Arabidopsis thaliana: one gene and its partner. The protein of the gene in region 1 interacts with the protein of each later gene in a pairwise test. Each region holds a gene or a part of one and is shown on either strand. Other genes may lie near its edges. The genes, in order: ATRER1C1 and VP2.

The links.
Region 2: the proteins of ATRER1C1 (region 1) and VP2 interact in a protein complementation assay, tested with the Arabidopsis thaliana proteins (one large-scale study listed by BioGRID).

What each region holds. Positions count from the first base shown.
Region 1 is NC_003071.7:9,915,425-9,919,348, reverse strand, and holds the start of ATRER1C1 (Rer1 family protein), read right to left. Parts: upstream 1,907-3,924; 5' UTR 1,707-1,906; coding exon 1,291-1,706; intron 763-1,290; coding exon 582-762; intron 478-581; coding exon 436-477; 3' UTR 1-435. Other genes in the region: AT2G23300 (Leucine-rich repeat protein kinase family protein), read right to left, coding at 2,219-2,907, 3,109-3,924. UniProt on the Arabidopsis thaliana protein: Involved in the retrieval of endoplasmic reticulum membrane proteins from the early Golgi compartment.
Region 2 is NC_003070.9:29,669,386-29,673,309, forward strand, and holds the start of VP2 (vacuolar H+-pyrophosphatase 2), read left to right. Parts: upstream 1-2,109; 5' UTR 2,110-2,306; intron 2,307-2,394; exon of another isoform or gene 2,395-2,606; intron 2,607-2,700; 5' UTR 2,701-2,954; coding exon 2,955-3,053; intron 3,054-3,223; coding exon 3,224-3,427; intron 3,428-3,537; coding exon 3,538-3,689; intron 3,690-3,777; coding exon 3,778-3,924. Other genes in the region: AT1G78915 (Tetratricopeptide repeat (TPR)-like superfamily protein), read right to left, coding at 77-139, 241-310, 366-416, 535-614, 729-834, 1,104-1,191, 1,353-1,390, 1,476-1,504 and 1 more. UniProt on the Arabidopsis thaliana protein: Pyrophosphatase active in both inorganic pyrophosphate hydrolysis and H(+) translocation.

The DNA of each region.
Region 1 (3,924 bases):
TTGTATCTATCAAAACTAACACTTGAAAGAAAAAAAACACATTATAGAATCAGGAAGAACTCAGTGAACATTCATGAATACCAAGCATATCGCAATTTCCATGTTCTTAAATAACTAGGACACAATCCATGAACATCGATAGAACCGGACAGTGATTACTGATTAGTCTTTAGTTTTCCACCATGATGATTACAAAAGGGTCAAGTATGAAACATTATTTTCTCACTGAAAAAAGGATGTAAAAAAATAAGATTGTACATTGAGTTCAGGTGAAACCAGTAAAATAGTCAGGATGATAAAAGAGCAAAATATGTCTATCTCTACTTCATCCCTAACAAAGATATAGGCCATCAAAAGAGAACAAAAGACCGACCTTTTCAAATGCTACTTCTCTCAAAAGACTGTAAAATTGCTGACCTGAACAGTTTTGATTGATCATTCACTGCTCTCTGTTGGAGCCGGTTTCTTTCCATACTGCTGCAAGGGAAAAACAAACCGAGGATGAAGTTAGAAAACTTACTCAACTTGTTCAGACGTTAGAGTCAGTTCTGTGAAGGAAGGAAAGAAAAAGAAACACACACCTTTTTCCCAAAAGAGAAAGGGACATATCTGTATTTGATCATATGCTGTATCTGTTTCCTCATCGTAAGGAAAAACAACATCACCCAGTAGAAGAGAAGTATTGGCCAGAATACAGGTACATCAAACACCTCGAAGAACGTCATCATAAATCCGATGATGAAAGCCCTTATGATCGATAACCTTCATGGCAAAAAACACACACACAACATTCCACATCAAAAAATCCAAAGGACATCAAATCGAGACTTCATCACATTCTAGATTGATAAACCTAAAAAGAATTCATACAAAGGCTTCACAAAGTGAATCTTGTCGATCTCTTCTAAATTTGGTTCTAAATCTTGCTAAAAATGTAGTTTCTCTGCAGAATTGAATCAATCTAGCTACATCAAAGTCCACAATAATTGAATTCCTCAACAAGTAAGTCATCAAACATCATTATCAATCATCTGATCTAACGATTCAGTCATGAATTCATCTGCAATCAAACCAATAACGCTACTAAAACCCTAGATCAGATCTACGTAATCTAACTATATCAAAGTCTACAATAGTTGAATTCCTTAACAAGTAAGTCATCAAGCTTCGTCATCCTCTCAAGTCTCAATCGATAAAGTGAATCAAACCAATAACGCTATGCTCAATTTCACTACTAAAACCCTATATCAGATCTAACAAAATCAATAATACAGAATCAAAGAGACGAACCAGAATTTGAACTCAGGGAGACGGCGAACGAAAGGACGATACTCATCGGATCTCCGAGTAGGAAGAGAACCACCGGAAGTGAGAGAAGCTTCGGGATCTTCTTGAGGAGATAGAAAAGCAATGATGAGATTCAAAAGGTAGATGCCGATGGCGTAAGTGATGATGTAGAAGCCTTCCACAAAGTAAACACGAACGATGTAGATCAATACAACACAGAGACATGCGATCCATCGATAGAGAACGTGAGGAACCGTTTTGTCGAGAAGATGTTGTTGTCGCTGCGAAAAGGCGTGGATCAATCGGTTAACGGCGTCGGCGGGAGATGATGAGTCGCTTGATTGGAGATTATCATCGGTGGCGGTGGCGGTGGTGGCGGCGGCTGCCGGAGGTACAACAGCCGTTGCTGCGGATTCCATCGGTGGATACTCTCTCTGTGTCTCTTTGGTTTGATCTCTCTCTCTACCTCGGAAAATGCGACGGAGGAGACGGAGATTCGTAGATTTGGATTTGGGACTTTTTGGGAGATCAGATCAGATCATATCCGGTTTACGGAAGATCTACTATTTACTATCCGAACCGGTTGAAATTATACGATCAATCTATCGGTTTACTTGCGGGTTTAGTGGTTCAGAAATTATTAAACGATTTATATGATTGGTCTACTGGTTGAAAATATAGTATAACACATTAACTTATGTTTGAAGATTTAAGTATATGGGAGCCAACTCCAAGTCTCCAACACAAACCGAACTTACACTAAATTAAACAAAAAACGATTACAAACCAAGCTAACCTAGTGGTAGTATCCTAAAGAATCATATATAAAAACTCAAGTGGACAAACAACAAGAAAGAACAATTTGCATCATGTGTATATACTTTGGCCATAGAGAAACGCTTAGAGACTAGAGTTAGTGTAAGATCAAACGTTAATAGTGTCCGTAATGGTACGATGGACTCTTAGCCGATGAGCTAATAGGATATCTTTCAAACACTACTAACGCCTCTTTCATGGTCGGTCTCTTTTGTGGAATTTGAGATGCACAACTATATCCCAATTTGAAAAGGCCAAGTAAAAAGTCCTCTTTGCCTTCCAATTCGGAGCGGATCGCTACATCAGCCATTATTAGCGCCCGGTTCCCGTCCTCTACGGTCAGCCCATTTCCTACCCCCACCTCGTCTATCGACACTATTTTTCCCGTGAGCAGCTCGAGGAGGATCACTCCAAACCCAAACACATCCCATTTCGGGTTTGGTTTGAGATTGCGGAGCGACTCGGGTGCGCAATAGGGAGATATGGGCCCAACGGAGCTTGGACTTGGGCTCGGTGTGGGCCCGATGGTACCAAATTCACGCGAGGATGCTGTCAATCGCTTGCTACTGAAAATCCGAGATGATCCACTAGCTCGGTTATAGCTAGTATCCCCGGCGAGAAGCCTTTCGAGCCCGAAATCTCCGATCTTGGGCTCCATATCTTGGCCCAAGAGTATGTTACTAGGCTTCAAGTTACCGTGCACATGTTTCTTGTCGTGGAGGTAAGCAAGCCCACGAGCCAAACCTTTTACTATCTTGAGCCGAGTCTCCCACGGTAAATGGCACGGCGAAGACCCTCCTTTCCCTGTCCAATAGCACAAAGAATCAAAATTTGACCAGCCGTTGACTTTATTAATACAGGTGTAATTTAACTACTACCAACTAATATGAACACAGTAGCAAAACCCTGGTGATGCTAGCGTGCGACTTGATCTTATGCTAACATGTGCCTTTATCATAAAGCGAGGAAAAAGATTGAAATGTGAAAGAGATGATTTTGACTCACTGTAACGGGCGTTGACGAGACTGCCGTTAGGAACAAAATCGTAAATGACCAATTTCTCGTCGGTGCCCCAATAGAATCCACGAAGACGTACCAAATTCGGGTGAACCAATTTACCAATAGCTCGAATATGTGCCTCAAAGTCTTTAAACCGGCGTTGTTGACTCAAACCATTCTCACCTAACCGACGAACCGCGAGAACCGTACCGTCCTCAAGAACAGTCTTGTACATTATACTCGAACCAGTGGCTCCTAAAATGTAAGCAGAAGCCTTAAGCAAAGTTTCAACTTCAAGCTCTTTCTCTCCTCCATCAATGGTTACTAAAGTCCCTTTCTTATTCTCTCCAATCTCTCCTGACCGTTGATTTTCTTCGTCTTCTTCTTCGGTTTCATCGGTTTCTTGATTCTTACGGAGACATGACCATTTTGCAAATCTGCTTGATTGTTCTGGAGATGAAGAAGATGTAGTTGTTGATGATGATGGTGATAACGAAGTTGTGTCTTTAGCTTCATGAGCTTCTAGGCTATGATTGTTCTTCTTCTCCACTGTCTTGTTGTTTTTGTATTTATAAACGTAGAAGAAGATAAGAGCGAGGATTCCGATTCCGGCGATATCTCCGACTATGATTCCGATTATAACTCCTGGTCTTAACCCGGTTCGAGGATTTGAGTTGTTGTTCGGTTCGGTTTCTCGATTAGACCCGATTGATTTAGGTATAGCTGCGAGTGCAGGTGTAGAGGTTGGTGGCGAGACGGTGGCCGGAGATGAAGGAATGGGACACGGGTTTCGGGTCGGACCTCCGCATAAACCCGGGTTTC
Region 2 (3,924 bases), on another chromosome or scaffold:
GCCTACAGATGAATGGCTAAATGCCGATGAAGAAGATATTTAATAGTATGCACAACATGCGCATGTTATCACTCACCTCCAGAGCAGCTTGATCCTGAGGCGTGCCATTGAGAGTTGTTTCAAACTCTTTGAGCCTTTGCTGCAAAATGAAAAAAAATCGAGATGTTTACTACGTATCTTACTTTATTCAGATTATCAAAGTTCATGAACGAAATCTTCATGATCAGCCCCTAATATTACCTGAAGCGTGGCTTTCTCTTCTTCTGAAATTTGATTTTTAACTACTGTTGTGTTCTTAGTTGGACTATCACTGAAAAGTGGTAAAAACATTGTTAGAACTGACACCGGCTAAATTACATGACAACATGACTTGGTATGACAAAAATGTGAAATTACGGAAACCAACCCAGCTGATCCTAAGAACATATGATGTCATCAGAATCTTTACACAAACAATTACAAACTGGAATAAAAAGAAGGAAAATGACAAACAGTAACATGGTGTAAATGACACAGTTATGACTTGGACTTCACTTAACGCACCTTCCCGTGGGAAGAAAGTCACCAAGAGCAAAAACCAAACCAAATACAACAACAGCTATGCCAACTCCAACCTGTCATGGCATGGGCCCAAGTTTTGTCATGTTATGTATGAGTAGCTTATAGGCCTCAAGTGGTTTTAGAACAAAATAAAAAATAAACACTTGCAAGATGTTATGTATGCGTACCTTAGTACCAAGACCAATTGTTTTCTGGTCAGACTTGACTGGTGCATCATAGTCAATTGGACCAAATTCTTTAACTACTTCTGTCTTTTTCTGCTCAAGAGCTGACCTGATTCATCAAAAGAGCAGAGGTCACAGAAATAACATTCCGATCAGTGGGAGGACAATGATCTTGACTATGTCTAGGGGGTGAGGGAAGTGGAAAGCAAGACAAGTGATGAACAAATCAAGAAAAAAAAAGAATCAAACTTTCATAGGAAGATCATGTCGTTGTGGGTATAATGAGAAAGTCAAGTGTGATTGTCAGAGGAATAATCCTATTGTAACCTATATATCTCTAAAGCCAATCTTCATGCTAGAATCATAAAACATAGGTACCTTCTGATGTTTTCCAGCCGTTCATCGAAGTCTATATCAAAAGATCGACCAGATTTTCCTTCAAACTGAGTATTCAGACCAGGTGCCTCTGCAAACAAATGCAGGAGTTTCTTGAGCAAACCTTTCAATTGAAACCAACTTTTTGAGATAAACTGAAGAATGCAAAAATGAAGTTATGTTCGAGACACCATGAAGGAGAGCAGCAACATCTGTTACGTACAATATGCTTTAAAATCAAATTATACTTACTTCTGGGTACAGAAACAGACTGTTTAGAAGATGATTTCCTGCAGCAAAGAAGTCCATATGAAAATATAACAACAGCAATTTAAAATTCTAAATGCTTTAAACAAACACAAAAACTATTTATACCTTTGCTGCAATGCCGGGTCTTTCTCTTCCTGTGATGCGATTTCACATTTTTGTCTCAGTACTTTGAATCAACAAAATTAAGTTGAACAAAGAAGAATTTGGAATCAAACCTTTTTTGAGCCGAAGCCACGCTTAGGGTTAGAATCCGAGCAACGTATTCGAAATAGGAGAAGCTTCGAGTTAAATGAAACGGAGGTCGTCGCCGCTAGTGTCATCAACATCCTCTGTTTGTATTGTCCTAACCAAAACAGAGAATTTTCTAAGAAAGTTTCAAAGAAATAATGAGAAGTAACGGCTACGAAGAGAAATTCGTCCGCCGGAGATTGACGATGAAAGGTGAGCTCCGTGATCGGGCCGGTAAGATAACGTTAGTGGTTCTTCTTCTTCTTCACTTTGCAGATTGTCTATTATATGGGCCGAATGGCAAAACATAATTTTGGGCTAGGCCCATATAATATTCAAATGTTAATATTCCAAAATTGATGGGTATTTTTGATAATTTAACTCGATCTATATAATTTAACAAACGAGGATGATTTTAAGTTTTTAACTTTTTAAGTGAGAATAGTGATTAAGTGTCAACGACTCATTGGATAGGATGTGTCATAAAATTAGTATTGAACCACTGAGGAGTGAAAATAAAATTAAAGGTAGAAAAATTAATTTAGGAAAAAAATATTCGGAAAGTTCTGTGAAAAGTCTTCGGATTTAGAACGGAGACAGCGAGAGGATAGAGCGCTTCTTCGGCTACAACAAGCTTTCGCTAATGGCGGTTTCCTTCTGATCACTCTCACCGGAGCCGTCATCTTCTCTGTTTTACCGATTTTTAGGGTTTGTTTCCGGATAAACTCTTCGTATGCTTTTTTTTTTTCGTTGGATTCGTTTCTGGAAACGTATCCATTTCCTGTCTAGAGATCATGTGAATTTCTCTTAGAACAGAACTCAGATCTAAATTAAAGTAACGGTGCTTGATTCATTAAACTCGGAATGCAAAGTCCCTTGCGTTTTATTCACTGAAATCTTAGTCGATTAGATCTTGAGGTCTGTTTGTTAATCGCACTTTTCTGGGGAATTGATCGTAGAAGCAATTACGCTCATGGGAAATGATGAAAGTTATAGCTAAACTTTACTGTAGAACCTTACTCTGATTATATTTCATTTAAAAATGCTATTTGGTTGGTAAAGAGAAACATCACAACTTTTCATACTTTTCTATTTTTTTCAGAAATTTTGATTGTGGTGGAAACTTGTTGTGGCAACTCTACTGAGAAAGTTTGAAGAAGCTGGAATCAAAGATATAGCTAGAGTTAAGAGGGTTCATACTAACTTGTGCTCGTTTTGTGATGTGCTGTTGTTAACGTTTGGAGGAAAAAGTTGTAGTGTATTAAAATTCAGCGTCCGAGTTCTGGGGCGGAGTTGCCCCATAGCATTGACTTTACGCCTCTACACATAGTCCGAAGGGCTAATTCAGCTCAAAACATGATGATGGATGAAGATGTTGAGCAGGCCAGTTTGATGTCTTTCAATGACAGGCCTAGGGCTTTTCCCAACATGCGTAGTAAAACCTATAGTCCACTGGTACAACTTTTATTCCTCTCTTTCTTGAGTGCTTTTCTTTTTGCTTGCATCAGATCACTGAGATGCGTATTATAACTAGTTTCCTTCTATTTCGTTTAGCATCTTAGTTTCTTGAGCATCTCGTTTTCATTTTCTTTGAAATTGTATAAAGTTTAGTTGTTTTTTGGCAGATATTCCGGATTATTAGGAAATTAAATGTCCGTGTCCTTTCGATAATTCTGCTTTTCTGCTTCGGAGCAATCTTTTACATGGGGGCAAGTACTTCTCCCATCATCGTGTTCGTCTTCACAGTATGCATCATCAGCTTCCTTTTGTCAATATATCTAACCAAGTGGGTTTTAGCGAAAGATGAAGGACCTCCAGAGATGGTTGAGGTAAGCTCACTCAGATTATGTGGTGTTAGTCATGATGTTGACATTTTTCCTTCTTTGTTCTCATCAAAAATTTGTAATTCTAATTTGTGAGGTAATTCTCTTACTTATAGATATCAGATGCTATACGTGATGGAGCTGAAGGTTTTTTCAGAACGCAGTATAGCACTATATCCAAGATGGCCATTTTGCTAGCTTTTGTGATTCTTTGCATATATCTATTCCGTAGCTTAACTCCCCAGCAAGAGGCTGCTGGTTTAGGAAGGTGCTGATACATGATTACATTCACAAGATTTATTTTATCTTTTGAATTGTTGTGAATGAAGCTTAGCCATATTACTATTTTGCTGCAGGGCGATGTCTGCTTATATTACTGTTGCTGCATTTCTTTTGGGGGCTCTATGCTCAGGTATTGCTGGATATGTTGGAATGTGGGTGTCAGTTCGTGCTAATGTGCGGGTCTCCAGTGCTGCCAGACGATCTGCGAGAGAAGCATTGCA